Sus scrofa: one gene and its partners. The main gene of each other region encodes a partner of the protein of the gene in region 5 in a complex. Links are inferred from orthologs where the notes say so. Each region holds a gene or a part of one and is shown on either strand. Other genes may lie near its edges. The genes, in order: SF3A2, DDX46, PHF5A, SF3A3, SF3B5, SNRNP200 and SNW1.

What was found.
Region 1: SF3B5 (region 5) and SF3A2 share a complex: the UniProt entries of both Homo sapiens proteins name them as parts of the 17S U2 SnRNP complex. The link is inferred for Sus scrofa from reciprocal best matches to the Homo sapiens genes SF3B5 and SF3A2.
Region 2: SF3B5 (region 5) and DDX46 share a complex: the UniProt entries of both Homo sapiens proteins name them as parts of the 17S U2 SnRNP complex. The link is inferred for Sus scrofa from reciprocal best matches to the Homo sapiens genes SF3B5 and DDX46.
Region 3: the proteins of SF3B5 (region 5) and PHF5A are in contact, whole or in part, in a cryo-EM structure (PDB 7EVN), measured with the Homo sapiens proteins. The link is inferred for Sus scrofa from reciprocal best matches to the Homo sapiens genes SF3B5 and PHF5A. Residues at the interface, in NP_112577.1 of Homo sapiens: Arg4, Tyr5, Thr6, Ile7, Gln10, Leu14; in NP_116147.1 of Homo sapiens: Pro6, Asp7, Leu8, Ile9, Phe10, Cys11, Arg12, Ile88, Leu91.
Region 4: SF3B5 (region 5) and SF3A3 share a complex: the UniProt entries of both Homo sapiens proteins name them as parts of the 17S U2 SnRNP complex. The link is inferred for Sus scrofa from reciprocal best matches to the Homo sapiens genes SF3B5 and SF3A3.
Region 6: SF3B5 (region 5) and SNRNP200 share a complex: the UniProt entries of both Homo sapiens proteins name them as parts of the minor spliceosome. The link is inferred for Sus scrofa from reciprocal best matches to the Homo sapiens genes SF3B5 and SNRNP200.
Region 7: SF3B5 (region 5) and SNW1 share a complex: the UniProt entries of both Homo sapiens proteins name them as parts of the minor spliceosome. The link is inferred for Sus scrofa from reciprocal best matches to the Homo sapiens genes SF3B5 and SNW1.

The regions. Positions count from the first base shown.
Region 1 is NC_010444.4:76,403,419-76,408,055, reverse strand, and holds the start of SF3A2 (splicing factor 3A subunit 2), read right to left. Parts: upstream 3,175-4,637; 5' UTR 2,688-3,174; intron 1-2,687. Other genes in the region: PLEKHJ1 (pleckstrin homology domain-containing family J member 1), read left to right, coding at 3,349-3,442, 3,526-3,593, 3,753-3,819. UniProt on the Homo sapiens protein: Component of the 17S U2 SnRNP complex of the spliceosome, a large ribonucleoprotein complex that removes introns from transcribed pre-mRNAs.
Region 2 is NC_010444.4:136,988,974-136,993,102, reverse strand, and holds part of DDX46 (probable ATP-dependent RNA helicase DDX46), read right to left. Parts: intron 2,397-4,129; coding exon 2,231-2,396; intron 1,531-2,230; coding exon 1,410-1,530; intron 848-1,409; coding exon 672-847; intron 1-671. UniProt on the Homo sapiens protein: Component of the 17S U2 SnRNP complex of the spliceosome, a large ribonucleoprotein complex that removes introns from transcribed pre-mRNAs.
Region 3 is NC_010447.5:7,069,700-7,074,440, reverse strand, and holds the start of PHF5A (PHD finger-like domain-containing protein 5A), read right to left. Parts: upstream 3,297-4,741; 5' UTR 2,931-3,296; coding exon 2,879-2,930; intron 2,462-2,878; coding exon 2,438-2,461; intron 1,943-2,437; coding exon 1,776-1,942; intron 569-1,775; coding exon of another isoform or gene 524-568; exon of another isoform or gene 371-523; intron 1-370.
Region 4 is NC_010448.4:93,969,570-93,973,698, forward strand, and holds part of SF3A3 (splicing factor 3A subunit 3), read right to left. Parts: coding exon 4,047-4,129; intron 822-4,046; coding exon 749-821; intron 380-748; coding exon 288-379; intron 1-287. UniProt on the Homo sapiens protein: Component of the 17S U2 SnRNP complex of the spliceosome, a large ribonucleoprotein complex that removes introns from transcribed pre-mRNAs.
Region 5 is NC_010443.5:21,229,812-21,232,931, forward strand, and holds SF3B5 (splicing factor 3B subunit 5), read left to right. Parts: upstream 1-1,452; 5' UTR 1,453-1,596; coding exon 1,597-1,857; 3' UTR 1,858-1,877; intron 1,878-1,986; 3' UTR 1,987-2,203; downstream 2,204-3,120. UniProt on the Homo sapiens protein: Component of the 17S U2 SnRNP complex of the spliceosome, a large ribonucleoprotein complex that removes introns from transcribed pre-mRNAs.
Region 6 is NC_010445.4:46,956,190-46,960,318, reverse strand, and holds part of SNRNP200 (U5 small nuclear ribonucleoprotein 200 kDa helicase), read right to left. Parts: intron 3,806-4,129; coding exon 3,616-3,805; intron 3,519-3,615; coding exon 3,354-3,518; intron 3,130-3,353; coding exon 3,008-3,129; intron 2,766-3,007; coding exon 2,622-2,765; intron 2,524-2,621; coding exon 2,347-2,523; intron 2,096-2,346; coding exon 1,935-2,095; intron 1,853-1,934; coding exon 1,771-1,852; intron 556-1,770; coding exon 463-555; intron 364-462; coding exon 220-363; 3' UTR 1-219. UniProt on the Homo sapiens protein: Catalyzes the ATP-dependent unwinding of U4/U6 RNA duplices, an essential step in the assembly of a catalytically active spliceosome. Plays a role in pre-mRNA splicing as a core component of precatalytic, catalytic and postcatalytic spliceosomal complexes.
Region 7 is NC_010449.5:100,746,097-100,750,820, forward strand, and holds the start of SNW1 (SNW domain-containing protein 1), read right to left. Parts: upstream 3,319-4,724; 5' UTR 3,229-3,318; coding exon 3,215-3,228; intron 1-3,214. UniProt on the Homo sapiens protein: Involved in pre-mRNA splicing as component of the spliceosome. As a component of the minor spliceosome, involved in the splicing of U12-type introns in pre-mRNAs.

The DNA of each region.
Region 1 (4,637 bases), on a different chromosome or scaffold from region 5:
CAGGCCCACTGAGTTCACTAGTTGAAAAGCACTACTTCTTTTTTTTTTTTTGTCTTTTTGCCATTTCTTGGGCCGCTCCCATGGCATATGGAGGTTCCCAGGTTAGGGGTCTAATCAGAGCTGTAGCTGCCAGCCTACGCCAGAGCCACAGCAACGCAGATCCGAGCCGCGTCTGCGACCTACACCACAGCTCATGGCAACGCCGGATTGTTAACCTGCTGAGCAAGAGCAGGGATCGAACCCACAACCTCATGGTTCCTAGTCGGATCCGTTAACCACTGCGCCATGACGGGAACTCCCGAAAAGCACTACTCTTGATGCAGAACTGCTAACAATATAAAGAGACTCAAGGAATTGCAAGTATCAGAAAACAACAACAAAAACCAGTGGAACCTCAATGAAGGAGAATAATATTCTTCAAGATCATGGGAGATGTTACTGCACCATGAAACCTGAATAGCATGCCAAGAGTGAGTTTGGTGAATCAAAACCACGCAGACCCTTTAAAAGAAAAGACATGATAATCCAAACAAAAAATTGAACACAAGTGCTCTAAGGTCAGCCAAATAAAGCTTTCACACAAAACAGAAAAATGAAAAACAACCAACAACAAAACAAAAGGAGGCAAAGCAAGAAACCCTGGACCAAAAACAGAACCAAATGTGGAGAATATTATCAAAGGAATGACATAAGAACTCCAAAGTTAAAAAAGGTCCTAACACAGACACAAACAAAAAGACTCTCAAGATCACGAAATTTTACAACACTAAAAAAAACTTTAAATTTCTACTAGACAGGAAAAAAATGAGAACTGAAATGAGAAATCAGGACAGGATCAGATCCCTCAGAACAGCACTTAATGTAGAAAACATGCTATAATTCCACAGTTCCCACTGAGGGTTTCTTTTTTTGGGGGGGGTGGGGCTGCACCTGCATATGGAAGTTCAGAGGCCAAGGAGTCGAGGTGGAACTGCAGCTGCCAGCCTACATCACAGCAAAGGGGGATCTGAGCTGCATCTCTGACCTACGCAGTAGCTAGCGGCATTGCTAGATCATTAACCCACTTCATAGATATTAGGCGGGTTAACCCTCTGTGCCACAATGGGGACTTCCCTACTGTGGATTTTTAATCCAGAATTTTACTCCCAACTTTTTTATTTTTGTTTTTTAAGGGTCGAACCTACAGCATATGGAGGGTCCCAGGCTAGGGGTTGAATTGGAGCTGAGGCCGCTGGCCTACACCACAGCCAGGGCACCACCAGATCTGAGCTACATCTGCTACCTATGCCACAGCTCACAACAGCACCAGACACTTAACCCACTGAGCGAGGCCAGGGATCGAACCTGCATCCTCATGGATGCTAGTCAGGTTTGTTTCAGCTGAGACATGATGGGAACTCCTACTTCCAAACTTCTGACTGTGGGGGTAAATTAAAGCCATTTTCAGTTAACTGAGAACTCACAATAAATAAATGAGCTGACCTCTTCAAAAACTACTCCTTATGCTCTGATAAAAGGAACGAAAAAGATGGTCAGACTGAAAACTAAAGCCAGACCAGGGTAACCTGGACAGAAGGTTCTAGGACAACCACTCAGAAGCAAAGTGGGGGCTCCAGTCCCAAAAGCAGGATTAGGCCAGCTTTAAGAGGGAAATTTCCATGGGAGAAAGGAAAAAAGAAATCCATCTGTGGGAGTTCCCATTGTGTTAAGGACCAACATTGTCTCTGTGAAGATGGTTGTGTTCACTCCCTGGCCTCAATCAATGGGTTAAGGATCCGGCATTGCATCAAGCTGCCATACAGGCTGCAGCTGCAGCTGCCACTCGACCCCGGCCCAGGAATTTCCACGTGCTGCAGGTGCGGCCATAAAAAAAAAGAAAAAAAGAAAGAAAAAGCCATCCATTTGTTTAAATCTGTGGGAAAACACAACTAATCAGTGTGTGAAGTAATGACACGTTGAGAAAGAAACAAGCAAAACAAAACAAACAAACAAAAAAAACAGGCAAAGAAAATCAGGCTAACAGGAAAAGAAGAAATTAATTAGCTTTGGAGGACGATAGGAAAAACAGCGTAAGAAAAACAATACAGCTGAATACATTGCTTGCCTGAACAGCGAATACTATTTTCAGCCCTAAAAAATAAAACACGATCTGACAAAACTCACGATATCCACATTCAGAATATGGAGGGCGAGGTTGGAGAGGGTGGGTGGCAGATAGAAATGAAACCTCAAACCCGGCGCAGCCAAAAAGAATAACGTTATTTACAAAGCTGCTCTTGGTAGTTCTGAGCTGACAAAAGAACAGAAAAAAGAAGCGATCGGGCACCTAGTGTGACAGGTGGGGAAATCATTTAACTTTGTGGCACCGCTTGCCAAACGGGCCTGGCTAACGGGCCCTGGTGGCCTCGGGTGCGGTGCCAGGAGTTTCGCCGTCACCCCCACCCGTTACAGAAACCAGGTGACTCCCAGACCACATGGCCAGCATACCAACGGGCGACTGCCGGGGCACACGGAAAGCGCCTCGGGAGCTGCCGCCCTACCGGACCGGCATTTATGGCCCGAGCTCCGAGAGGGCGGGGAGCGGGCACCCACTCTCAGCCTGCGCCCCCGCCGACCGCCCCTCGCCCTCTCCCCTCCAGGGAACTCCCGGGGGTCTCCGCCCTAGCCCCTCGCCGCTCCTGACTCGCCTGCGCGGCCTCACTGCCGTAGTCTATTCAGACTCCACCGTAACCGCCTATTCTGCCGCCACAGCCGCCGCGACAATTTCGACAGGCGCACGCGCGCCAAGGGCTAAGGAAGCACTTCCGAGGGCAGGCGAGGCGGGGCCTTCCGTGTGCGCATGCCCAGCCCGCCTAGCGGCGCGGGGCAGACGTTCCGGATGCTGGAGGTGAGTGGCGAGCCGGGAGTGTGGGCCGGAAGCCGAAGTGCGCGTGCGCGTCGGCCCCCACCCTCTCTCGGTGGGCCTAATTCGCGGGGCCACCTCTCGCGGGATAGCGAGTTGCGTCTCGCCCCACCTCCACTTCGCATGCTCCAGGTCGCTTCAGTTAAGGGCGCCATGGGTCGTGGCGGGCCACCTTATTGCATGGTTGTATATGGCAACCGTCCACCTTGCTCACTATCCCGTGCGCCCCGTGAGGGTTCACGTTCTATCCAGGCGGCTCCCAGCACTGTACTGACACGCACCAGTGATTGACAGGCTGAGCGGCCGCAGAACGCGCAGGCGTAGTTGCCCGGGCTGCGCTTCCGGAACGGTGCGGTGGGACTCTTTTGGCGCCGGCAACGGCGCGAGTGGGGACGGCGGCCGGTAAGGCGCGGTTTTCGTTCCGCGTTCCGGGTCCCGGCGGCGCCATGCGCTTTAACGAGAAGGAGCTGCAGGCGCTCTCCCGGCAGCCGGCCGAGATGGCGGCTGAGCTGGGCATGAGGGGCCCGAAAAAAGGAAGCGGTGAGCGGCCCGGGGCGCCCAAGCGGGCGGCAGGCGGGGCTGGGCAGCCACCGAACTCGCGCGAGCCTTCCTTGTTCCCGTAGTGGTGAAGCGGAGACTGGTGAAGCTGGTGGTCAACTTCCTCTTCTACTTCCGGACGGACGAGGCAGAGGTTAGGCGCTGGGGAGGGCGGGGTTGGGGGTAGGGGGTCGGGGCGAGGGCGTGGGGGGGGACCGGAGCCAGGGGGCGGGGCCGGGGTCTGAGGCGTGGGACGGGCTTGGGTGGCTGGAGGGTTCCCCGCACCGCCCCTTACGCGTCCATCTGCCCTCAGCCCGTCGGAGCCCTGCTGCTGGAACACTGCAGAGTCACCCAGGAAGAGCCCAGCGGCTTCTCCATCAGTGAGTGCGAACTGCGGCCAAGCTGCCCGGCCCCGCCCCGGCCCCTCTTGCATCTCTACCGACAAAGTCCATTGTCCCGAGCAGCCCCACTCGCCCTGGCTCCTCCCCGTGGGGCCCAGGCAGAGCTTGCAGCGAGGAGGGCGGGAGGCAAGAAGTCTGACATCAGAGTGGGCGCAGAGTTGTGTATTTCTGAAGAATCATCTCTGTCTCACGCCTCTTCTCTCAGCTTCTGGGGCGTCTTTGGCTTTGGTTTTTTTTTTTTTTTTTTTTTTTTTGTCTTTTTAGGGCCGCACCTCAGGTATGTGGAGGTTCCCAGGCTAGGGATCGAATGGGAGCTACAGCTGCTGGGTTACGCCACAGATCTGAGAAGCCTCTGTGACCTACACCACAATTCACCGCAATGCCGGGTCCTTAACCTGCTGAGCGAGGCCAGGAATTGAACCCACAACCTCATGGTTCCTAGTCGGATTCCTTTCCACTGGGTCGTGACAGAAACTCCAACCCTTGGCATTTCTTATCTTGTAGAAGCGTCACCCCATCTTCGTCTCCGTTTTCACAGGATACTGTTCTCAGGGTGGTTGTGTCCAGATTTCACTTTCCATAACAACACTAGACCTGTGGGTTAGAGGCTCACCCTTCTGCAGTGTGACCTCACCTTAGCTACTTAGGACCGCAGCGACCCCACAACCAGACAGAGTCACGGTCCCAGAAAACGTCTTAAACGTTTTAAGACTTGAACATATATTTTGAGGGGGATACAGTTCAACTCAAAGCCAGCTAGTGGGAGGCAGTGAGCCCAGGCTGGGGCTGGAGGAGAG
Region 2 (4,129 bases), on a different chromosome or scaffold from region 5:
ATTCTCTACGGCAAATCACAGAGCAAAGGCAATCAAGTAACTCACTGTGCTGCAGAACTATGCCGTGGCTTCCGGAAACAGCCTTGGTCTGAGGGGCACAGGCAGAGGAGAAATGTACTGTGCCCTCTGCTGCCAAGAGAGGAGTTGAACAACTTTCCGAAACCCTACTCAAATTTTGGAGAAGAGATCTCTGCCAAGTGAATCAAGAAAACGGAATCTGAAGACCTACTCCTGAATGAAATGCTGGCACTACAGCCTTTTAAGGCAAATAAAAATAAAAAAAAAAAAAGAAGAAGAAGAAGAAAAAAAGAAATACACTTCCCTACAGTCTTATGTTGAGTTTATAGATCCACTGATATGGGCTAAGAACAAACCTCAACATAAATAAACAGATAGATGCACGAGGAGTCTACCTGCCAGGTCAGAGTTTAAAAACTGAGCTGTGCCAGGAGAGGCTGTTTTTGTACGTCTGAGATGTCACGCCAGAGCTCTGAAGATTCTCACTCCACCTGCTGGTAAGGGGAAATCAGCCCCAAAGTGCCAAATTTGTAAAGGAAATGTACATAAGACATCTTTATTGTTATAATTAACATTACAAAGCATCACGTCTCTCTGATTAACTGACAACAAAGTTGTTACCTGCAAAGAAAGTTTAATGAAAGGAATTGTACCTATTGGTCCCTCGCCTTCTTCTAAAGACCTCTGATCCATGATGTGTCTAAACATGGGCAACAGAAAGGCAATGGTCTTTCCACTTCCTGTCTTGGCAATACCAATCAAATCTCGTCCAGACATTATAGCAGGAATCGCCTGGGTCTGGATTGGCGTGGGCTTTTCATAACCATGCCTTAAAAAGCAAACCAAAGGAAGACAAAGTAAGAACTGTGATCTCTGGGCCTCTCAAAGTGTAAAGGTTTTCCAAAATGTATAACCATACGGTAAAACTTTCTTTGGCAAAAAGGAATGAAGTACTGAGACATTTTATATCATAAATAAATTGCTTCGCTAAGTGAAAAAGCCAGTCACGAGACTACATTATTATCTCATCCATACGAAATGTTCAGAATAGATAAATCTTTAGAAACAGTACAACAGTGGCTGCCTAATGTGGAGAAGAGAGAAAAAATGACAATGAATGGATACCGGTCTTCTCTTGGGACAATGAAAATGTTCTAGAATTAGATTATGGTAATGGCTACACAATCCCACAAATACACTAAAAATTATCAAATTGTAAGCTTTAAAGGGTAAACTTTATGGTATGTATATTATATCTCACTTAAAGCTCTTTAAGAAAAATAATCAAGTGTTTCCATCACAATAAAAATGTAAGCAAAGGAATTATTTGTGCAAAGGGCTATTTTGAGTAGCAAGATAATGAACAATGTGGACAACCACTAAACACTTACTTTTTGAGAGAATTTAAGATTTTCATGGAAATCCCACACTGAACCCAAGATTTAATTGGTTTGGGGCAACCTTTTCCTTTGACAGTAATGCCTTCCATTTCCAACCGAAATACATTCACCTCTGCAAAACAAAATCCAGATTAAAAACTCTTCAATATTGGTCTATATGAGTGCTTTCTACTTTTCCATTAGGCATGGTAAGATTAAGACTCTTTGACTTTTTCTTAGGGCTCCCAAAGGTAATTCCACAGAAAGGCGATATGACAAAGTGTTAAACAGCTCAAAGTGATTCGAGTAGCAACCGACTAGAGGTAAAAAACAGCCCCGTTTCTGCAATTTGGCTTCTCTTTTGACTTAAATTGTACCAACAATAAAAGAACAATGATTGGCAAGTTATACAACGACAGTTCTTCAAGCAAGACTTGCCCAAATTATCTTTATTCTTTCGGTATCACAACATTGACATTGGTTCCTAACTCAAACCTCAGACAAGGCTAACAATATCCTATTTGTTAACTGCACAGGATGAGTATTTTCAACCACAAACATTTAAACCACATGAGCCAAACTAATTTTTGCTCCTTTTTTTAATGTTTCCAAAACACACTAATTTCTCACTGCTGCACATCTTTGCGGATGTTGTCCCACTCTCTAGAATGACTTCTTACCTTCTAGTTCCCTCTCTAGTTGCTTAGTTCTTCAGGTAAGCCAGGCAAATTCCTCCTGCATCAACTCAGAGGCCTATTGACATGGCTCCCAGGTAAGGTAAAGTGTGTTCTCCTCTGTTCCCACAATAACCAATAAACGAATAAAAACGTTACCCTCTTGAGACATTTTTGCCAGTTCTGGAACTTCAACATAAAAATTTTTTCTGAATGGTTCATATTCAATTTTTCCATGATCGACTGGTTCTAGAAGCTTTCTCTGCTTTGTCTGATAACCTGTCAGGGCCGTCTGAAGATCAACTTCCTCCTCCTCTGAAGAATACTGTAATTAAAGAGAAAAATTATGAGCTAAATCCATTACTACTTTCCCCTTATGGGATTAAATACCCCTAGCTTTTATTTTTATTCTTATTTTTGGCCGAAGCCATGGCATACAGAAGTTCCTGGGCCAGGGATCAAACCCAAGCCACAGCAGTGACCTGACCTGACCCATAGCAATGAAAATGCCAGATCCTTAACCTGCTAGGCCACAAAAGAACCCTTCCCCTACTAGCTTTTAAAACCATTCTCTCCTGAAAAAGATTTTTTGGCTTTATTTTCTGAATTAGTTTAATTTTTTCTTTGCCTCACAGAAAGTTATAACAACAAGGTAGTTCCTGTTGTGGCTTAGTGGTAACAAACCCAAATAGTATCCATGAGGATTTGGGTTCGATCCCTGGCCCTGCTCAGTGGGTTAAGGATCCGGCACTGCTGTGAGCTATACGGTATGGGTCTCAGATGCAGCTTGAATCTAGCGTTGCTGTGGCTATACTGTAGGCCAGCAGCTGTAGCTCCAATTCGACCCCTAGCCTGGGAACGTTCATATGCCACAGGTGCAGAACTAAAAAAAAAAAAAAAAAAAAAGTTACAAACAGTAACAATATAAAACTAAAAGCTTAAATTAAAAAAAATAATTCTAGGAGTTCCCATCCTGGTGCAGTGGTTAACGAATCCGACTAGGAACCATGAGGTTGCGGGTTCGGTCCCTGCCCTTGCTCAGTGGGTTAACGATCCAGCGTTGCCGTGAGCTGTGGTGTAGGTTGCAGATGCGGCTCGGATCCCGCGTTGCTGTGGCTCTGGCGTAGGCCGGTGGCTGCAGCTCCAATTCGACCCCTAGCCTGGGAACCTCCATATGCCGTGGGAGCGGCCCAAAGAAATAGCAAAAAGGCAAAAAAAAAAAAAAAAAAAAAAAAAAAAATTCTAACATGGCTTTAAGGAAGTTTTGCTAAGTTCTCTCTATATAAATCTTTACAATGCATGTTAATAGAAAAAAATCTAATTCATTCTATCACATCATTTCTTCTCTCCCTATTCTAAGTCTGGGATGAGCTGATGATAGAAAAGGGTTACCCCATCAAGTGAGCATAAACATTTGCAGCAACACAGATGAAACTAGAGAATATTGTACTAAATGAAATCAGCCAAAGATAAATATTATATGATACCACTTATATATGGAATCTAAATAATAATATAAGTGAATTTATTTACAAAACAGAAAAAGACCCTGGAAGTTCTCTTCCTTGTGGAAGATCTGCCCTGGAAGATCCCAGGTGAAGGATCCAGTGTTGCTGCAGCTGTCACACAGGTGCAACTGCAGCACCAGTTCAGTCCCTGCCCCAGGAACTTCCATAAGCCATGAGCATAGCCAAAAAAATGGAAAGAAACAGGCCCAATAAAGAAAACACATTTATGGTTACCAAGAGATACACATTACTATATATAAAATAGACAATAAGAATTTTGCTGGAGTTCCCGTCGTGGCGCAGCGGTTAGCGAATCCAACTAGAAACCATGAGGTTGCCGGTTTGGTCCCTGCCCTTGCTCAGTGGGTTAAGGATCCTGCGTTGCCGTGAGCTGTGGTGTAGGTTGCAGATGCGGCTCGGATCCCGCGTTGCTGTGGCTCTGGCGTAGGCCGGTGGCTACAGCTCCGATTCAACCCCTAGCCTGGGAACCTCCATATGCCGCGGGAGCGGCCCAAGAAATAGCAACAATAACAACAACAACAACAACAAC
Region 3 (4,741 bases), on a different chromosome or scaffold from region 5:
AGTGCTCTTGTCTCACCATAGAATATATAGAGACTTTAAATAAGTACCAAACACCTACTATGTACCAGACACCCTGTAGGGGGAACGCTTACGGATGACTTACAGGGGTAGCGACAAAAATGTGGACCATACTACAATACACGCAGGGATTATACTTTGAACTGAGGAAAAGGGGAGACAAACACAAAAACCAAGCTTCTTTCTGTAAAGGGAGTGTAATCTACCTGGTGGATCAGATCAAACAGGTATGATATGACAATCAAAAGTAAACACAAATCAGAGTTTAGGACAGGAGAATGTTCACATCACCAAGGGAAAATTTGTCTTTGGTACTTTATGATCTTTCTCATCTCCCTAAATAAGAGAAGACTTAATGGTGTAAAAAAAAAGTTTTATTTGGTGTGACATGTCCCACTTATTAAAGGTAGACAGGATCCAAATGTAAAGATTGCTGAGTTGCTTCTCGTCAACCAGGCACATCCCACCAAAAGGACCATAAGGTGTATTGCAGCTATCACCAGGTTTAGACAGACAGCCGGGGCTTGCCCCTTATTAGCTGCAGGACAGACTGTAAAAGGGGGATAGTAATAATCCCTATTTAACAAAGTTACTGTGAAGAATATGGAAGATAATACCCACATAGAAACTACCTATTCTTTGCACAAGGAAAAATTAAGAAATATTTTATCTCATGCCTTATCCTAGATTAGGTAACCAGATACCTTATAATAAATAGTCTACTGGTACTATATCACATTTCCTTTTATTTATTGTGTCATATGAATAAAAGCTGATTAACCTCCCCTACCCCAAGCCTGCTTTTGGAATAGATCTACAAGCCCTCTATCCTGGCTCAAAGAGTTGAATAAATAGCCACTGGCACCGGAGTTCCCGTCGTGGTGCAGTGGTTAACGAATCTGACTAGGAACCATGAGGATGCGGGTTCGATCCCTGCCCTTGCTCAGTGGGTTAAGGATCCGGCGTTGCCACGAGCTGTGGTGTAGGTTGCAGAGGCGGCTCGGATCCTGCGTTGCTGTGGCTCTGGCGTAGGCCAGTGGCTACAGCTCCGATTTGACCCCTAGCCTGGGAACTTCCATATGCCACGGGAGCGGCACAAAGAAATAGCAAAAAAAAAAAAAAAAAAAAGCCACTGGCACCAAAAAAATGTCAAGGGGCAAAAATGCCATGAGCAAGAATTACAATCAATTCTGCAAAATCAACCAAAGGCACTCTCTAGCCACTCAGAGCTGAAATGAACTTGAACTGTCCCAAATTCAAAAGTCATCACATCCACCCTAACGTTCCTTAATGGTAGCACAAATTAGTGACTTCTGCACATCATGCACTGTGGTATGATTTAAAAATGCAGCATAGTTTCTGGGGGGAAAAAAAAAAAGAGAGAGAAAGTTCCTTTGTGGTGCAGTAGGTTAAGGATCTGGCATTGCCGTAGCTGTGGCACAGGCCACAACAGCAGCATGGTTCATCCCTGGCCTGGGAGCGTCCACATGTGGACACAGCCAAAAAAAAAAAAAAAGAGAGAGAGAAAGACATCAAATTGCCAGTGTTGACAAAAATTTGCTTTTCTCGCCTTTGTGTACTTGATGCAAAATAACTACCTTTTGTTGGAGTACACCCAGTTTGGTTTACAGAACTTGAAAATTATAACCTAGGTGACTGGCTGAACAGCCATCTCCTGACCATAGGAGTCTGCTGTGGATGGCCAAGTGTTCCTAAACGAAAGGAAAGATCAGAGGAAAAGCTTAGTATACACTCACATCCTTCTCCTGGATGGTGCACTCCTTACAATAATAGGCATCTGAAACTCCCGGGCCTCCGCAGATCACACAGCGCCCCTGGTAAGAGCCATAGTTACACTCGTCACATATGCGCACCAGGGTGCAGGGACGCACGTAGGAGTCACAGATCACACACTTGCCATCACCTGTAAGGAAAAGAGGTTGAATTACGCCCACTTGCAAGTACCTCAGGTCCTCTTCCTGCTATGGGTAAAAACACTATGTCCTTCTGACAGTGACTTTAGCCCTCTATTTTGGCATTATAAAATTGGTTTACCTAGCGTCCATTTCTCAATCTCCCCAACACATAGGAAAGCTAATCAATTAATATAAAGGGCTTAGAATAGCAGTCGGTAGATAAGTCTATATAATTGACTGGCAGAATGCTGTGTGTGTTGGGGGCAGGGTCATGCTACTTCTGGTCCAAAGCTAGAGGTTTTGTCAAAACCTAAATACAGTGCCTAAAATGTACAAGTTGGAGCGGGAAGGTGGCCTTTAGTTGCAGTCTGGCTTTGTATTAACATGCTTCCAATCATGTCTATCCAAAGCCCTCTTCGTGGCACCGCTGAAAATGTCCGTTGCTGCCACTATAGAAGCTGAGTGGGAGGGGTGGGCTGTTTGGAGAAGCGTGTTCCACTCACATTTTTCACACAGTCTTCCAATGGCTGCAAGATCAAAGGTGATAAAGAGTACAATTAGGATTAAGGTTTAGAAGAGGGGACAAAAGCCTCGAGCTTGAGTTGGGGACAGGTACAGGGTCTGCAGTGAGCCCTGAGAGGTCTTAACCATCGTATTCTCATAAACTTCAATCCGAACCAAATCCGCACCCTCGTAAGACCTCCCAGGTCCTGGGAAAACTGAGAATTTCTCTATCTCCGCAGCCCCTCTCCAGCTCTCAGCACGCGCGCCCCCGCCCCCCTTTCATCTGAGCCCACAAACCCACGCGCTCCTACACTACCGGCGGCGAGGCGGGAAACGGGGCGCCTCCGAAGCAACACCCTAAAGGAGTAATGGGAACCCCGGACTCTTAAGGTCCTAATACCATCCCCACCCAAACAGCCGGGGGCAGAAGACCGTCTCACCAACACCAGCCTGCTTGCGGCAAAAAATCAAGTCCGGGTGATGCTTAGCCATCGCTCGCGCTCAAACCACCGGAAGCTTAGGGAGCTTCCGCCAGACCTTTAACCCTGATTGTTCCTGCCTCCTCGTCGCCCTGATTGGTTCTCTAGGCGTCCATCAGCGTTTGCAATCTTTGCACCAAGCCCCGCTCATTCTCGCGTGATCAAAGCACTTAAATTCCGAAGACGAATTCCCGTTGGCAGTGGGGGAGTCAGGTCTTGGTAGGGGTGTGCGGGTCATTTAGGGAAAAAAAAAAAAAAAAACTTTCCCAGATTTGAATGGGAGGGACAAGTTGCAGAGCGCAAAGACGAAATTTGCACTTTGATATCTTTGTGCCGGGTATTTACTACCCCAACTTTTTAGGCAGCTCTCTCCCAATTCCCAGGTTGACTCTGGAGCTCCGCCCACGTCGCTCGCGGGAACGCCTTCAGCGTGACGCGTTTCTCCTCAGGTCACGCCCCTCACCGAAGGCCTTAAATAAGCCGCGTGTCACGTCACTTTCAAGCGACCTCATCTTTGTCAGTGCACAAAATGGCGCCTTACAGCCTACTGGTGACCCGGCTGCAGGTGAGCGAACCGAGAGCCCTCTAGGTTTACGGGGGCGGGGTACCTCTTTTGCGCTTGCGGCTATGGGCAAGGCAAGGCGAGGCGGGCCTGACCTCCGGCCGACTTTTCGCGTACCTGTCCCTTGCGCGGGCCCAGCGCAAATACCCGCTCCTCTGGCGCCCGAGGTCAGGGCGTCCCCGGCTCAGTCAGCTCTCAGCCCTGTCCCCGCCCCGCTGGAAGCAAGGGCCTAAGAAGCGGCGGCCGGGTGAAGAGTGGAGGCACGTCTTTCTCATTTTTGAGGACCGCAGTTTCTTCCCCCGTAAGGCTTTTTTTTTTTTTTTTTTTTTTCCTCCCCCGTTCCTCAAGGTGAGGACAAGGTGACTGGGGGGCGCGGTGGTTGGTAAGCGCGCTAGGCCCAGAGCCTGAAGGCCTCACTTTTCATCTCAGTAGCACAGAGTTGCTAGCCAGGTGCATCTACGGTTGCCAAACATGGAGTCTGTAGGGGGGGAAAAAAAAAAAACTATGACCTATTCCATCTTGTGGGGATCCTGCGGAACATGTACCCAAGAATTCGAGGGGGTGGGTTCCGTGCCCAGATGTAGCAAATAGTAATGATGACAGTAGTCTCTCAGCTTTGCACAAGATTGCAAGACTTAATTCCTCACCACATCGTTTGATTCATATCATCATTTCTGGAGATGATTATTTTTATTTGATAGGTGATGACGCTGTTAGAAAACAGGTAAAAGTTCTGCTCTCTGAGTCTTACCAAAGTGCTGTGGCCTGAGCATCTGCCCTACTACTCCCCATTCTCCTTGTCCCTTTCAGCCTGCCCTCACAGAACTTTTTGAGCCAGAGTGTGGTCCTGGAGCTGACATTTGTATTTGTGGGAGTTCCAGAATGGCGTATTTTGAGCTCACAATCAGTTGCTTTTCAGTTACTAGATGGGGAGGGTAAAAGAGACTCAACAGTTTGACCTTGACTGTCCTCTTTTGAACCATCTAGAAGATTGACTGACTGCCATTTCTTTTTTTTTCACTCCTGACTTGACAACCCTAGGAAGATGTTACACTCAAAGGTTCAATGTCAAGAACGTATTTCGTTAATAAAAAATCAAGCAAGCATTCTCCGACAACCTTTTACATTTAAATTTGTGAATCTACATTGGATCAAGTAGCACAACTATTATTGCAGAATTTAAAAAGAAGTAGTGTACTGTACTCTCAGAAAGTATTGTGTTGTCAGAAGTTTTTTTTTTTTTTTTTAAAGTTACATTGCTA
Region 4 (4,129 bases), on a different chromosome or scaffold from region 5:
CAGGAGCTTGAGTATTTGCGAGTTAAAAACATTTTTTTATTTTACATAAGCAAAATGTTATATTAATAAAATTAAATTTATAAGTAGAATATAATTGTCTTCACTGTAGAAACCCAACTTTCATTTTGAAAATGGTTTCACTCCAAGAAAACATGCCACCTCTTTAATATCTATGTAACAGTTACAAAACTCAGGGAAGACACTCTGTTTCAAGTCTAGCAGCCCCCGTCCAGTGTCCTGACACACCCCTCAAATCAGAGCCACTCTCCCCCTCTCCTGGGTCTTACCTCAGAGGCCTTCAAGTTAATGTATTTGAGGTAACAGTCATGGAGATCGAGATAACGACCATATCCCTCTTCATCTGTGAACTCCACCAAATCTGGAGGGATCAGAGACAGCAATGATTCACATACTAAAGGCCACTTTCTTGGACGTGACATCTCCACTAGCGAGTGGACTGCTAGTTCCTTGGTTCATAATGCAGCCCCTGACCCAAATATCCTCCCCATGCTCACAAAGTGAGGACATCTTGGCTTTCCAGGTCAGTGAATTTGAGCTGGGCTAGCAAATTTTGTCCAAGGCCAATTTAGGATGACAATCTAATCCAGAAACCAGAAAAGAGATCGCTAAGGGAACCTGGCTATACGTTTCTCTGGGGCTATTTTCTAGGGCTCTGAGGCCAAATTTGAGCTCTGTCATTAACCTGTATTTCTGCTAGTGCTGGGAGGAGATGTTAAACCCTGCTTACTTTGTGCCTCTTCACTTGGATTCTCTCGAGCCTTCAGGAGCTCCTCAAATTCCACTGACATTGGCACACAGATCTGACACGAAAAAGAGAAAAGCTCAGAGAGATGACTCAACATAAAAGTTTCAATATCAGGAGTTGCTGTCTTGTGGCGCAGTGGAAACAAATCCAACTAGGAACCATGAGGTTTCAGGTTCGATCCCTGGCCTTGCTCAGTGGATTAAGGATCCAGCGTTGCCGTGAGCTGTGGTGTAGGTCGCAGATGTGGCTCGGATCCTGCGTTGCTACGGCTGTGATATAGGCTGGTGGCTACAGCTCCGATTTGACCCCTAGCCTGGGAACCTCCATATGCCATGGGTGCGGCTCTAAAAGACAAAAGACAAAAAAAAAAAAAAAAAAAAAAAAAGTTTTAATATCAGAGTTCCCGTTGTGGTGCAGTGGAAACAAATCTGACTACTGTCCATGGAGGATTTGTGTTGGATCCCCGGCCTCGCTCAGTGAGTCGGGGATCTGGCGTTGCCATAAGCTGTGGTGCAAGTCACTGATGAGGCTCAGATCCCACAATGCTGTGGCTGTGGTGTAGGCTGGCAGCTGTAGCTCCAATTGGACCCCTAGCCTGGGAACTTCCATATGCTGTGGGTGTGGCCCTAAAGAGCAAGAAAAAAAAAAAAAAAAAAAGTTGCACCATCACAGAAATGGGCTGTATAGAAATGGATTTCTGATGCTTTATTTGGCCTTGCTTTTTCATCAGGAGCTTATTTCTAGTTTCTAATTACCTTGTTTCTTCCTTTTTGCACAGTTTAACACATGCTCACAAAAGCTCAAATACAAAAACAAATGAAAAAAAAAAAAAATCAAAGCCCCTTTTTAATAATTTTCCTAAGAAAAGATAACCACCATTAACAGACTTTATTTTATTTTATTTATGTATTTATTTTTTTTGTCTTTTTGCTATTTCTTTGGGCCGCTCCCGCGGCATATGGAGGTTCCCAGGCTAGGGGTCGAATCGGAGCTGTAGCCACTGGCCTACGCCAGAGCCACAGCAACGTGGGATCCGAGCCGCGTCTGCAACCTACACCACAGCTCATGGCAACGCCGGATCGTTAACCCACTGAGCAAGGGCAGGGACCGAACCCGCAACCTCATGGTTCCTAGTCGGATTCGTTAACCACTGCGCCACGACGGGAACTCCACCAGACTTTATTTTAAAAGCCAGCCATTCTCCAACTTTGCTGCATGTTAGAATCACCGAGGAAAGTGCTAAAAAAATCCCGATGCACTTAATACCAATTAAATCAGAGGGTGGGGGTTAGGGAACAGTACTTTTCAAAGAGCCCTCAGATTCAAATGTGCAGCAAAATTTGGAAACCACTGCTCTATGTATTCAAATATAAGTATTAGTGCAAGCAGATACCGGCAAGGGCAAAATTATTGTTTTTCACATAATTGGACTTACCTTCCTTTCCCTTAGTATATCTTAGGCATCCTTCCAATCATTTATTTAACCACTTATTCCCTGTCACCCTTCTACCAGGGCTGGGACAAGGTTAACACACCAGAATGGTCCTCTTGTCTTCCTTCCCGGTTAGCAAAAGATCTGCTACTCTCCAAAGGGGGTGAGGAGACACACGTAAGTACAGGAGGGTACGTTCATCTTCCACTTAGGTTCAATAAATAGTCTCTCCTGATGTTTTCGGTCTCTTCATTTCTCCATCTACCTTTTTAAATGCGTATGCCTTCCCTATCTTCCTTAGGGTCCTTCTGCTTCTCCTCTCCTTTTATCTGCCAATCTTTCCTTCTTTTTTTTTTTCCTTTTTGCCTTTTCTAGGGCCGCTCCCGAGGCACATGGAGGTTCCCAGGCTAGGGGTCTAATCGGAGCTGTAGCCGCTGGCCTTACTCCACAGCCATAGCAACGCCGGATCCTTAACCCACTGAGCAAGGCCAGGGATCAAACCCGAAACCTCATGGTTCCTAGTCGGATTCGTGAACCACTGAGCCACGACAGGAACTCCTATCTGCCAATCTTTCAAATGCATGTTAAACACGGCACACTACTATTTCTCCATTATCCACCTGCGCCCGTGACCAGATTTCCATTCTCACTACTTCAGCAGAGCACGACTCTGGTGGTTACCAATCAACAACAGCTGATATCAGTGACTGCCTTTCTGAAACTCGTTTGCTAAGAGTATGATGTTACCTGGAGCTGCCATGTGACCTATGACGGAAGGCCTCTCAGGCTCCTCCTTTGCTAAATACATTATTCTGAATGTGCCCCAAAGCACGCAGAAGCTGACAGGCTCCCTTCACATCGTTTCCCCCTCCCAAAACTCTGATTCGCGGCTACAACCATCAAGTCCATGTGATGTAATTTTCAAGCCTCAGGCACCCAACTTCAACTGCCTATGGCACACTTCTACTTAGATGTTGTAACACCTGATAATCTATATATATAAAAACTCATTCTCCAGTGCAAATAGGTTACCTTCTTCTTCCTTATTTCCATAAAGGGAACAAACAACATTTCTGTTAGAGTCATGAAAGCTCAGAGTAATCACAGACTCATCCCTCTCCACTTCTCCTACAGCCAAGCTTTGGTCAGCTCTGCAAATGCTTAACGGGTTCTTGATAACTGAGATGTAATCCCCGCTCTTCATGATTTTACAATATAGTGTGGCAGACACTCACTGTCACAAAACATGAAAGGATCATAAAGTAAGGAAAGACTAACTGAGGGATGGGGTAGACTAGGAAAGAATTTTCATGAAAGAGTTGGCCTCTGGGCTGAATAGTGAAGGTGTAATGATTACTGGAATGAGAAAAGCCTCTTTGTGCCAGTTGGATCATCTGGGCAGCGGATTTCAAGACAGAGTTAAGAGCATAAGCAGTTTTTTGGGGGTTATTACCCATGAAAGACAAAAAGGAGAGCAGGACTGGGCGGGGAGATCCTAGACCATGATGCAGACAGCTACCCTCTGATTCAGCACAATGGGGAGCTCTGGAGCAAATATTCCTCATTAGAAGAGTCTCACGTTGGGCAGAAATAACCAGGCCATGGTACCTGCCTCTGTGCTCGGTCTCTGGCTGGGGACTGCCTAAGAAGAGAATGGCCTTAGCTTAAACCTAGGGAGAATCTGAAAGCACTGGAGTTGTAGTATGTCAGCTAGTTATGCTCCCTGCAGTTAAATGGCACGTTCTTTTTTGAAGGGACACATGAGTGGCACAAGTCTCTTTTCCTCCTATCTTTCTCTTTAGTATGCTCTTTGGACAGGTTTGGGGAAAATACTTCCCAAGGTCATACCTCGTTTGGGTGTTTCCGGTGGAATTCCTTTATCTGCTTGAGTCTATTATAGAATTCAGCAAACTCGTTGGGTCCTGAAATGG
Region 5 (3,120 bases):
TTTTTTTTTTTTTCCAATTTTTGGTACAGGCATTTGATCCCAGAGGGAACTGTTTTACCACTAAAATTTTTTAATAAAAATTATATATATTTAAGAGGTGCAACATGATTTGATATACATATACACAATAAAATGGTACCACAAACTAATTAACATATTCACCTCCTCACAATTTTTAGTATTGATACAGTATTAACTATAGTTAACTATAGAGCTCTAAACTTACTAGTCCTATCTAACCGTAACTTTATACCAGAATAAAGATACTTTAAAGTTATCTTTCTCCCAGTAAAGAATTTATTTGGCCGTCATACAGGTTTTTTTAATCCATTCATCAGATGTTTTTTGAGAAACAATCTCTGCGAGGCTCTGTGGCTAGCATAACAGAAGCATATGATACAAGACATCATCTCTTTTTCATTAATATTTTTAAAAATATTACTATTTGAATTTATTGAACTTCGCATTTTGGGGTTTTCTTTGTGGATTTCATGCTACAAATAGATCAAGTAGATAGATGTCTCACCCTCAAAAAAAAAAAAAGACATCATCAAAAAAGTAGTTTTTCTCAAGTAGTTTGTATTCGTGTGGGGAAGTTCTTAAACCAAAAACTGGATATAAAGTGATAATAACAAAGAGATGTACAGGATGAAAAGAATTTACATCTGTCTGGAGTAGCCAAAGTCAATTTCAGGGAGATACTTTCGAGCTGACTTAAAAGGGAGAAGTGTTTGCCAGGGGAACAAAAGCATTCCACGCAGATGGAACAGCTCGTACAGAGAACTGGAGAGAGCAGCACGGGAACGTTTGAGAAGTAGAGGCTGAGGGCCTGTAGGTGGGGTGAAACTTGTTGGGAGGATGTCAAAATTAGAAGCTCAAAAGGAGGAGCCTGTTGTGGGGGCCTGAATGTGTCGGAACTGGTGCTGTACTTAGGTCACTAGGCGGGAAACGGCGGCCCCGCAAGCGATGAAAGAAGTTTCCACACAACTTGTAAGAGACATGGCTGGGGTCAGACCTTGAGTTTCCTGACTTCAGGGTGATCCACCCCTGGTTGTGAAACGGCTACTGTACCCTCTGTAGCTCCGAAAGCGGAATTGCACAAAGAGCTCCTTTCCCCAGTTGCTTACAGCCTTGTACTACTTGTTTCCCACTTCCTCTCGGCCCCCCATCCGCCCGAGGATGCTTCCTGCCTCCCAAACACCGCAGTCCATTCAGTCTCTCAAACCCACACACAGAGGTCCCAAGAAGTCTCTGCGAACCAACCCTCGGAAACCACAAGTCCCAGCATGCAAAGCTCCTGTTAGAAAAGGGCCGCTAGATGGACCAGCATGCAACGCTCTGCGAAGGAGGCGGGGCTCTCTATAGGGAAGGCCCACTGGTAGCGTTGCCGAGGCAACTCCAATTCCGTGACAGAATACACTTCCGCCTGGGAGGCCGGGGACCGCGAGTCGCGCTGCTTTGTCGCTGTGACGCCATCCACCTGCGGCCGCGCGTGTACAGAGGTTCCGGCGGGTGGCTCCTCTCCGGCTTGAAACCTTAGAGCGGCTTCTTCTCGTCTGCGGCTTCTGACCTGCGAGCAAAGGAAAAAGCAACGAGATGACAGACCGCTACACCATCCACAGCCAGTTAGAGCATCTGCAGTCCAAATACATCGGCACCGGCCACGCCGACACCACCAAATGGGAGTGGCTGGTGAACCAGCACCGCGACTCCTATTGCTCCTACATGGGCCACTTCGACCTTCTCAACTACTTCGCCATTGCCGAGAATGAGAGCAAAGCGCGAGTCCGCTTCAACTTGATGGAGAAGATGCTGCAGCCTTGCGGCCCGCCCGCCGACAAACCGGAGGAGAACTGAGACCTCACCGTCTCACCGCTGTACGTGAGCACCTCTCTGCGTTCCTCCGGTTTGTCGTCATTCCCGCGGGTTCCTCTCCCAAGTGGACGGATTCTTCATAGCTCTGCTTTTCGTGCTTTCTTTGTACAGAGGTCCTTACCCGGGGCGTTCCGTCCGACCTGCCTTCCTGTGGAACAAAGTGTTGGGAGACCCGTCATAACCCCTGAGAAACTGAACAGTGGAGAGATCCTAAAGTCTGCAGACGTTAGAGGAGATATGGCTGGAGTGAGATGGGATTAAGAGGCTCGTTTTTGGCTAGTTGACTGTCTTCGTTGCTTTTTCTATAAAGTTTAGAAATGTTTCGGTCTCTTGGTGTGGACTACTTGTGTTCTGGTGGAGGGGCCAAGGAGGGCTCTGGGACTGTGGTTTGCCGGGTGGCGGGGGGTATAAAGAAGGGAAGGGTTGGGGAGGGGTTCAACAGTAGCACAGGGCCAAAGTTCGTTGCCAGACACTTAAATACGCTCTTTATAATATTCTCCAACCCTGACTTCTCCCAGGAACTTTTCTCAGGCCCTTAACACATTCACTATTGAGGTTTGTGATCACTGTGTCCTTTTTCTTTCATACAAAAAAAAAAAATCTTGACTCGCTTTGCCTTCTCTCTGTAGATTACACCTCTTTCTTTTGGAAATACGTGGACATATCTTGAGTATTGACAAACTGTCAAATTAGTTCTTAAATTCATTCAGCAAATACGTGTTGAATTTTATGTGGCAGGCTTTAAGGACCTATATTACACTGGTTGGGGGAGCAGAAGACCACAAAATTTGCAGACATAAGCAAGCACATGTTGGAGGGTGCTGTGGAGAATGAGAGTAGCAGTAGGGTTGCAGTTTTAAGTAGAATGCTCAGGAGTTCCCATCCTGGCTCAGCGGAAACAATCTGACTAGGATCCATGAGGATGCAGGTTTGGTCCCTGACCTCACTGAGTGGGTTAATGATCCGGCTTTGCTGTGAGCTGCAGTGTAGGTGGCAGATATGGCAGGGATCCTGTGTTGCTGTGGCACAGGCCAACAGCTACAGCTCTGATACAGTCCCTAGCCTGAGAACCTCCATATGCCACCGGTGTGGCCCTAAAAAAAAAAAAATCCATAAATAAGATGTTCATGTTAAACTATTGAGAAGGTAACATTTAAGCAGAGACTTTAAGGAAATGAGGGAAATACCATGCGGAAAACTGGGGAAATCGTTTCCCAGGTAGAGGGAACTGCCAGTGCAATGTTC
Region 6 (4,129 bases), on a different chromosome or scaffold from region 5:
AAACCACTGTGCACAGTTTATGCTCAGCATCTACTGCAGACACTGGATCCAAAGTCTGGCTGTTGAAGGAGCCAGAGGAAAGTAGTGGATGGGCCGGGACTGTAGCACTGACTGGCCAGACTTCACACAGACCGGGTCGCCACTATGGAGGTCCCATACGGGGTGCAGGTTCCTAATTCAGGTTCAACCCTTCCTGTTCAAGAGCAGGTGCCTCTGGACTCAATCTGAGTCACTGTCTGTCTCAGCTTCTTTCACATCCACACTGAATTTGTACTCCTGGTCACACCCCATGTAGGCGTCACTCATGAAGTACAGAGTGTAGTTGTGGGCACCAGTGGCCGGGGCCACGAAGTCAAGCTTCACCTAGAGAGAGCAGGTAGAGCTCAGGGTGAGCTCCGATGCAGAGGAAGAGTTCTCACCCTGCCCACCTCAGAACGCGCTGGGGCCAGTGGACACACTCACCTTGGCCTTCTGCTGCAGGGTCAGCCTCTTGATGGAGATGAGGCTGTTTGACTTGGCATCTCCAATCACCACCCACCAGCCCTCTTCACGTTTCTGTAGTGACCAAAAGCCAACAATTTCAGAGTATTAAGACTTGATGGGAGTTCCTGTCGTGGCGCAGTGGTTAACGAATCCGACTAGGAACCATGAGGTTGCGGGTTCGATCCCTGCCCTTGCTCAGTGGGTTGACAATGCGGTGTTGCCGTGAGCTGTGGTGTAGGTCGCAGACGCGGCTCGGATCCTGCGTTGCTGTGGCTCTGGCGTAGGCTCTGATTCGACCCCCAGCCTGGGAACCTCCATATGCCGCGAGAGCAGCCCACGAAATAGCAAAGAGACAAAAAAAAAAAAAAAAAAAAAAAAGACTTGATGGCCATGACACCAGGAGAAAAGAAAGTTACAACAAAAACCAGAAAGAAAGCTTTCTAAAATTTCTTCCCAAAATTAATTTAAGATTTTAAACTGTCTAAAGGTGTCTCAAGAGAAATCAACTTTTAGGTAGGTAGGTGAACTCATTTGTTGGTTCTGGCTCCTTTCCTGGTCCAAGTCCCTTCTCCCATTCAGTGCTTGCCACTAAATCCAAGATTCCACGATTAGACATCTAGTCTGTGGGGCCTGGCAACCTGGACTTCCTCAGAGACCCTTTCAAGTGAAAGCATGTATGTCAGAGGAAAACATGGCAACATGGAGATGAGCCTGCCAGTGAAGAGGATCCAAAGCAGGCCTGGCCTCCATAAAGAATCCCTCTCTGCTGGCTGCTCCTCTGCCAGAAAGCCCAAGAATTCCAGTTAAAGTGCTCTTTCCTCAGAACCTATTAAACACATTTATAAAATTAAACATTAGTGTATCTAGTTTCTGCTTTCAGCCATCAGTCATTCTCCCCTGTAAGGGGTCAGATTTCCTTTTGGGCAGTAAAGAGCCAAGCTACTGGAAACAGTATGTAGCAGTGAGAAAGGGGGGAGAAGAAACACCAGCTAGAAAAGCCCAATTATCCTGGACCACTTAGAGGTAAAGATAAATGATTCTTCATAGCCATGGATATCGACGGCACTGCACAACTGGGACTTTGAACCAGTCACCTAAATTGCTTTAAAGCAAAAACTCCCACCACAATCACCCATGGCCCCAAGATTAATCCTCACCCAAATGACTTGGGTATTACTCTAAATACCAAATACCTGGGTATCACTCCAGTGACTGTGGACCCCTTGGCCCAGACTCTAGCCAGCTAGTAGGGCCTCAGGGCAGCCCTGGTAAAGCTAGTAGCCGTACCTGTGGGAAGAGAGGTGCGATCACAGGGCCTGTGACTTCTTCCTCTCGCTCCAGCTGCACCAGCACCACAACTGGCCCACCACTGCAGGGACAAACACAAGGTATGCATCAGAGCTGTGCCCAGTGGGGACCCTGGGGGAGGGCCTTGGCCCTCTCTGGCTCACCTGCGGATACTGTCCTTATCCACCACTTCGTAGGACAGCTCGATGTTGGGGTAGCGGTTACAGAACCGGGCCACGTCTGCAATCTGGCTGTCTGACAGTTGCAGCAACGCGTTGCGCTCCTCATCTTCCATCTCCATGATGTCGAAGACACTCTCCACCCCCTGCAGTAGGCGTTCAGAGGTCAGGGAAGATGAGGGAATGCAGACTAGCAGCAAAGGGAACTGGCTCCAAAGAACAGCTGATTTGACTTCCTACACTACCAGGTCACCTAAAGACTCGGCCCACAACCATCAGGCTCTCTAGCATCTCCGTGGGTAACACCTTCAGAAAAAGTCTCCCCTCCCACTACCCCCGCCCCAGCACAGGACACTCAGGCTCGGCCACCAACACTCCAGGCCCAGGCCCGGCTCACCTTGTCTGTGCAGCGTTTGATGTGCTCTGAGGTGAAGTGTGGCAGCTGTTTCAGGTATGAGTCCTTGGACCACATGGCCTGCGTGACCATCTGGGCCAGCTCCATGGCTGCCAGGGCTGGGCTGAGCCAGCCGTTGCTGGAGAGGACATCCACACAGGCCTGGATGAGCCGGATGGCCTGAACACGGGTAGGAGAGCAAGGGAGGGTGGTTCAAAACTGCTGCTTCAGATGGCACGTGGGCCACCCCTGTGCCCAGCCCCGTGCCCAAACAATACCTTGCTAAGGATTTCCTCTGTATCCGACTGCAGCTCAGCACTCAGCTGCATGCGGGACAGGTGAGCCTGCAGAAGCAGGTTGGTCTTCACGTGTGGGTCGTTGAACTTGGGGTTATTCAGCTTGTGGGGGACCTTCTGAGCCAACTGGAATGTGGAAGAAAAAGAGCCGGTGATGAAGAGGTGGCCCTGCTCTGGGGCCCACAGCTCCACCTGACCCAGGCTCACAATACTTCACAACACAGGGGCGGGTGGAGGGGTGCATCTTGGGGGCTGAGACGTGTGTGGAGGCAAGTGAGGCCTGAGCCAGTGGCGACGGGGGATCACGTGCTGTGGGCACACCGCCAAGTTTCAACTCCAAGGGTGTTCTGAAGCCATGACAGCCTCACCTGCCGAAGCAGGTTGTCTTCATGGTGTCGGATGGGAATGTTCTCATACTCAGCCGCATTGGAGATGATCTCAATAAGCCCTCGCACCTTGGTCTTGGCGTTCAGGGACATGCTGAAGAGCTCTGGGAAACAGGGAAGGAGATGTGGGAGGAGTCAACGCAGACAGAAAAGGAGCAGGGAGGAGAGTTAATGCCTGGGCTACCCCACCTCTGCCCGCATTGCTTTCCTCTGGCAAATACACAGGGCCCGGGAAGGCTGTCATAACTCATCCCTCTGTGCTGCAGACCCCGCCTAGGGTCCCTCTAAGCTCAGGTTCCCCTCAGACCAGCCCCCGGTGGCCCCGCACCAATGGTGGTATAGTTGATGTAATAGTAGGCAGCAATCATGCCCAGGTTCAGAGGCGCCACGTCCATCTCGTCCTCAATACTGATGCACTTGGACTGCTCCAGGTCACTCAGGGTCTGTTCCACAAGCTCTGACAAGTGGTCAGACAGGTGACGATGGGAGATGCCTGCGAAGGTGAGAGGTAAGCGGGGAGTCATGGGGAGGTGGCAAGCAAGGGCTGTGGAAACCGCAAAAGGATAACATGTGCTCCTAAGCCCGCTGACCCTGCAGGTTGTAATAGTTGGGGTTCTGTGTCATGCGGCGGTACAGAAAGGTCCAGGTGAGGTAGTCCACGGCGTCCTGCTTGTTCTCGATGGTCTTGGTGACAATCTCTGCATTGAAGTGGTCATGCATACAGTGGTCCAGGTGAGACTCTACTGGCAAAGGCTCATATAAGAACTTTTTGAAGAAATCCTATAGGAAAGAAGAGTCAATGACAATATGGTCACCAAAGAAAGGACAAGGGCAAATCCACAGAGGATGGCTCCTGAGTGACAGGCACAGCTAATACAAAATGGAAGAAACTAGTTGCACAGTAGACGGAAGCGGGGTCTGGACCTGGCGAGCTGGGTGTATATGCCTGTGCCAGCTGGCATCACCAGCCGGCCATCTGTACAGTGGGGACCAGAGTACGCCAAGTCACACAGGGAAGATGGACCCACCAGAGGACAAAGCCCTCAATACAAAGAGTCAACAGCAGTAGCAAAAACCAAAGGCTACAAAATTCTATGCAGCCGA
Region 7 (4,724 bases), on a different chromosome or scaffold from region 5:
GGCTAAGAAGCTCAGAGTTCAAATCTCACCTACGCCACTCACTAACCTGGATTAGTTACCTACCTCTCTGACCCTCAGTTTTCTCATCTGTAATGACGGACCAAAAGATTACCTACCTCACAGAGCTGTTATAAATATTAAATTATAACGCCCATGAACCACATGGCACAGTGTCTAGATACCATCCAACATGTACTCCGTAAGTATTTGATTATTTGGAGCTGTTCCATGATTCCCCTGGTTTGGGTTGTCTCCCTATAGTCTCAAAAGACCCTCTGTGTACCACAATTATAACATCTGTCTTACTGTACCACAATTATCTACTCATTTACTCTTTCTCTCACTAGACTTTGGGTAACCTGAGGGCAGGAACCACATCTTCTGTTTCTGCCACCCCTAACTCTCCAGGAATTATCTAGCTAGCTCATGGTTGGGCCTACTTAAATATTGGCAAGAGAAATAAATTCACTCTACCCTTTGCACTCACCATTTTTATGTCACTACAACCTTACTGCCTTTCCTTAAACAAGTCGTCTCAGGATCTTTACATTTGCTTTTCCACTGCCATAAAAAATTCTATTTACTTATCAAGAAAACGCTTTCCCAAACTTTTTAGTGCTTGTTTCTTAGTATTCATGTCCCAGCTCCACTATACCTCCCTCGCAGCTGCTAAATGACCACCTTAACCAAAACAGCATTCCACTCCACACTGAGTCACTCTCTATCCCTTTATCTGTATTTTATTCTTAGTACTTAATACCTGAAGTTGCATCATTGATTTGTTTACTCCTAGTCTGTCTCCCCTAGAATGTAAGCTGTGAGGATAAGACTGATTCAATGCTGTAAAACCAACACTAGCCTTGCACATGGTGGATTTTCAACACATGCATATTTACTGAGTGAATGAATAAATGGATGGATGAATGGAATCAAAATTCTGGGCTTTTTGGTAAACCATGCAGTACCCAATACATGGGAGGGATACAAAGACAGTAACAAAGAAGCCAAAATATTTGTTTCATTTCTCTTTTCTTTTCTTCCTCCCCTCCTTCCCCTTCTTTCTTTTTGGCCCCACCCACGGCATACAAAAGTTCCTAGGCCAGGGATCAAACCCGAGCCATAGCAGCAACCAAGGCCACAGCAGTGACAATGTGGGATCCTTAACGCACTGTTGATAGAACTAGTTACTAAAATGATCAAAAAGCAGGCACCCTGCCAAAGCAGAGTTTGGACAATCCAGTAAACAGGTAGCCTGACCTGGATTATGGTGAGAACACACCGTAGCCTTCCAGAAGGTCTTAATCTCCTTGTTCCCCATAAAGGATGACATTCCCATAATGAAATACACTTCTATAGTGGGAGTGGGCTGCATATGTAAACAGAAAGTCTACTTCGGTGTTTCTCAACAGGGGGCAACTTATCTACAATGTAGATACTTGACAAGGTCTGGAGCTATTCTGATTGTTAGAATTTGGGGGGTAAAGGGGAGAGAGGGAGTGAAGGTGCCACTGATATCTAGTGAGTAGAGGCCAAAGATATTGCTAAACATCTTAATATGCCCAAGACAAGAACGAAATATCCAGTCCAAAATGTCAACAGTGCCACTGTACAGGCACCTTAGTCTATCTTTTCCCCTTTATTAAAGAAATTGTATTAAATGCAAATGAAATTATTTGATACATAACCTTAAATACAGGAGTTCAGAAAGTTAAATCAGTATGACTTTAGATCTTTAGTTAGTAACAATCAACTGTGATACCAAGACTGTAATACATCAATATGTCAAGTCCCTGCTGTTAAGAATCCCTGGTAGATCTTAGAGATAATAATATTTTACCTGAAAACTTGAGACCATCTCTAAAAATCAAGTCAGCTAAAACTCAACAAAACCAGAAAGCTATGTAAGTTCCTAAGACAAACTATTTAAAGACTGAACTCTGTCACTGCAATTTTAAGCACAAAATAACCACAATATGTCTGGTATTTTCAAATTCCATTTTTTCCACAAAGCCTTTCTTCCTAATTCTACTAGTCTTTGTCACACTGCCTCCCATCTGGAGGGCACTCAATCGAATATTTGCTGCCTGCAACCTTTATTTACTAAAGAAAACTCTCCAGTTCATCTAGCCCATTCCATCTTATTTTTTTGCAATTAAGGTTAGTACAACACAATAAGCATTCTGTGTTGTCCTTTAATATCTATATTCCTGTACTTCATCTTCCCTGCAGCCAAGGACTGTCAGATTTCCTTCTATATATACACAGTCCCTAGGATAGACCAAGGCACCCGAAAGTTATCCCCCAAAGAACTAATTCGAATATCTTTAGGATTCTTAACTGTCATCAGCCAGGAAAAATGTGTATGAGGGGAATGAAGCGTGTTTAGGGAGTCCAAGCGGATCTCCTAACACGACTACTTTCCTTACCCTGTTTGACACCCAACTTTTTCTGTTTCGGCGTTTGTTGGTAAGAAAAGTTTTTCTTCTTAGATGGGGCAACAAGGTCGCAGACTAGTAGGAGTTACGTAACAACTAGGAATATTTCTCCTTAAGCATCTTTTTCTTAAGGGCGGGGACCACTTTACTTGCGGTTGCCAAGGCAACTGGGAACAGCAAAAATGTGAAGTAGTTCTATCTATGGAAGAAATGCTAAGATCCGATGTTAAAGTGCGGAGCAGCGGCGCGAATTAGGAGACAGCGGCCACTACTGTGGCTGATGTGAAGTCTCCGTTCAGTGTCGGGCCCCGTTTTTCAAGGAATCCTTGTTTCGGGACAGAGAAAGAAAAGACTTCGGCAAACAAACGGCCCGGCCGTCGCCTCCTGCCCGCCTCACTCCGCCCAGACAAATAAGCCACTGCCCTCCATACCCCCATCGCGCCCACCCGAGCCGCGGACCCGAAGGAGCGATCTCCACCACCCCAAAATGCTTAAGCGAAAAACACGTGCGAATCCTCAGCATCTCAGACCAGAGAACTATTCGCCATGCCGCGGCTTTCGGCCCTAGTGAGGGGGCGAACTCAACCCGGGAAGCCACTCGGGAAAGACCCCAGCTTCGGAGAGGCCTAGTCGTCCCGGCGGCTGGAGGGAGGGCTTAGCCTTGGCCTAGTCGCTCTGTGGCCCGGGCCTGGCTACCGCCCGGAGACTATAAACAGAGAAATAAAAACGGAGGGTACTCCCAGACCCTTCCGTATCGAGGACCCCAATCAACAACCCACCTGGTGAGCGCCATCTTCTTCCGCTTCTTCCAGCGCGAGCGACAGTACCGCGGGGCGGGTCTTTACCCGCGAAGGGTTGGGGAGAGGAAGGAGCGCGCGATGCGCAGGCGCCCTAGCCGAAGGGCCTTCTGGGATTTGTAGTTCTTTGCGCAAGATTACAATTTGGTTCTTTTCTAACCAGTTACAGAATAAGCGCTTCAGTTAAGAAAACGCAAATGCATCACTCTTACACTATGACATGATACAGCATTCCCTAGGCAAAATACTAACAAATTTGAGATGTTTTTTAAGTCTTTTTTTATTCCCCACTCTGTCTCATTTCTTTTGTTATGGTTCCAAATACAAAAGCCTTCGGGGGGCGGGGGGGGGAACGTTAAATAAGAGTTGGGTTAAATCAAATGGTTGGGAAATTGTGAGACTGGAGAATAGAGAGTTCTTGGGCGCTCTGAAAACTTTCATACTCAAAAGTTTTTACACGCGGTTCCCTACGTAACACTCCACCTCCAAAACACTCTCCAGGGGAGGTATTTTGTGATCCTTAGTAATTATCTTTGGAACACTCCTTAGGTGTATTATGTATGTATGTCTTTATGTATGTATGGCTTAGATTGTCTTTTACATAGTTTGTGGGTTCAACATAGTCTTTGATGAAGTGATAGGATAAACGAAATCTTCACAGTGGGAAGAGGGAGGTGGATGGAATATACTGTAAATGAAACAAGGTTAGCTATGAATTTTAATCACTGTTGAAGCTAGATAATGGGGAAATGGTGTTCCTTATACAATTCTCTCTACTTTTTTATACGTTGGAAACTTTCCATGGTATAGAAACAAACTTTTAATAGTAGCATAGCACACATACAGAAACGTTGCCTACAGAAGTGTATAGTTTGAATATTCACAAACCAAACACCGTAGTATGAGCAGAGGCAGCAACACCACCTCCAACTCCACCTCCAACTCTTGATTTCTGGTGTGACACGACGTTCTAGGCTAGTTTAGTACTTTTTCTGCCCTAGACTTTCAATCAGTCATTTTTCCAAGGAGCTTTCCTTTAAGTGGAAAAGTGATATTTAGAGAAAAAGACCTGGATGCTACAAATGCTCACTGTTACTGGGCAATTGCTGTTTGTAAACCTTTTCAGTGGACAGAGCTAGAAAGTTCACATATCCACATACTTTTTTTTTTTTTTTGCCATTTTTGAGGCCGCTCTTGCGGCATATGGAGGTTCCCAGGCTAGGAGTCTAATCGGAGCCGTAGCCACCAGTCTACGCCAGAGCCACAGCAACGTGGGATCCGAGCCGCGTCTGCGACCTACACCACAGCTCACGGCAACGCTGGATCGTTAACCCACTGAGCAAGGGCAGGGACCGAACCCGCAACCTCATGGTTCCTAGTCGGATTCGTTAACCACGGCGCCACCACGGGAACTCCCAATCATACTTTTTGAGAAACTCCATCATGCATTCATACTAATAGTTCCAATGCAAGATTAGGATTACACAGATTT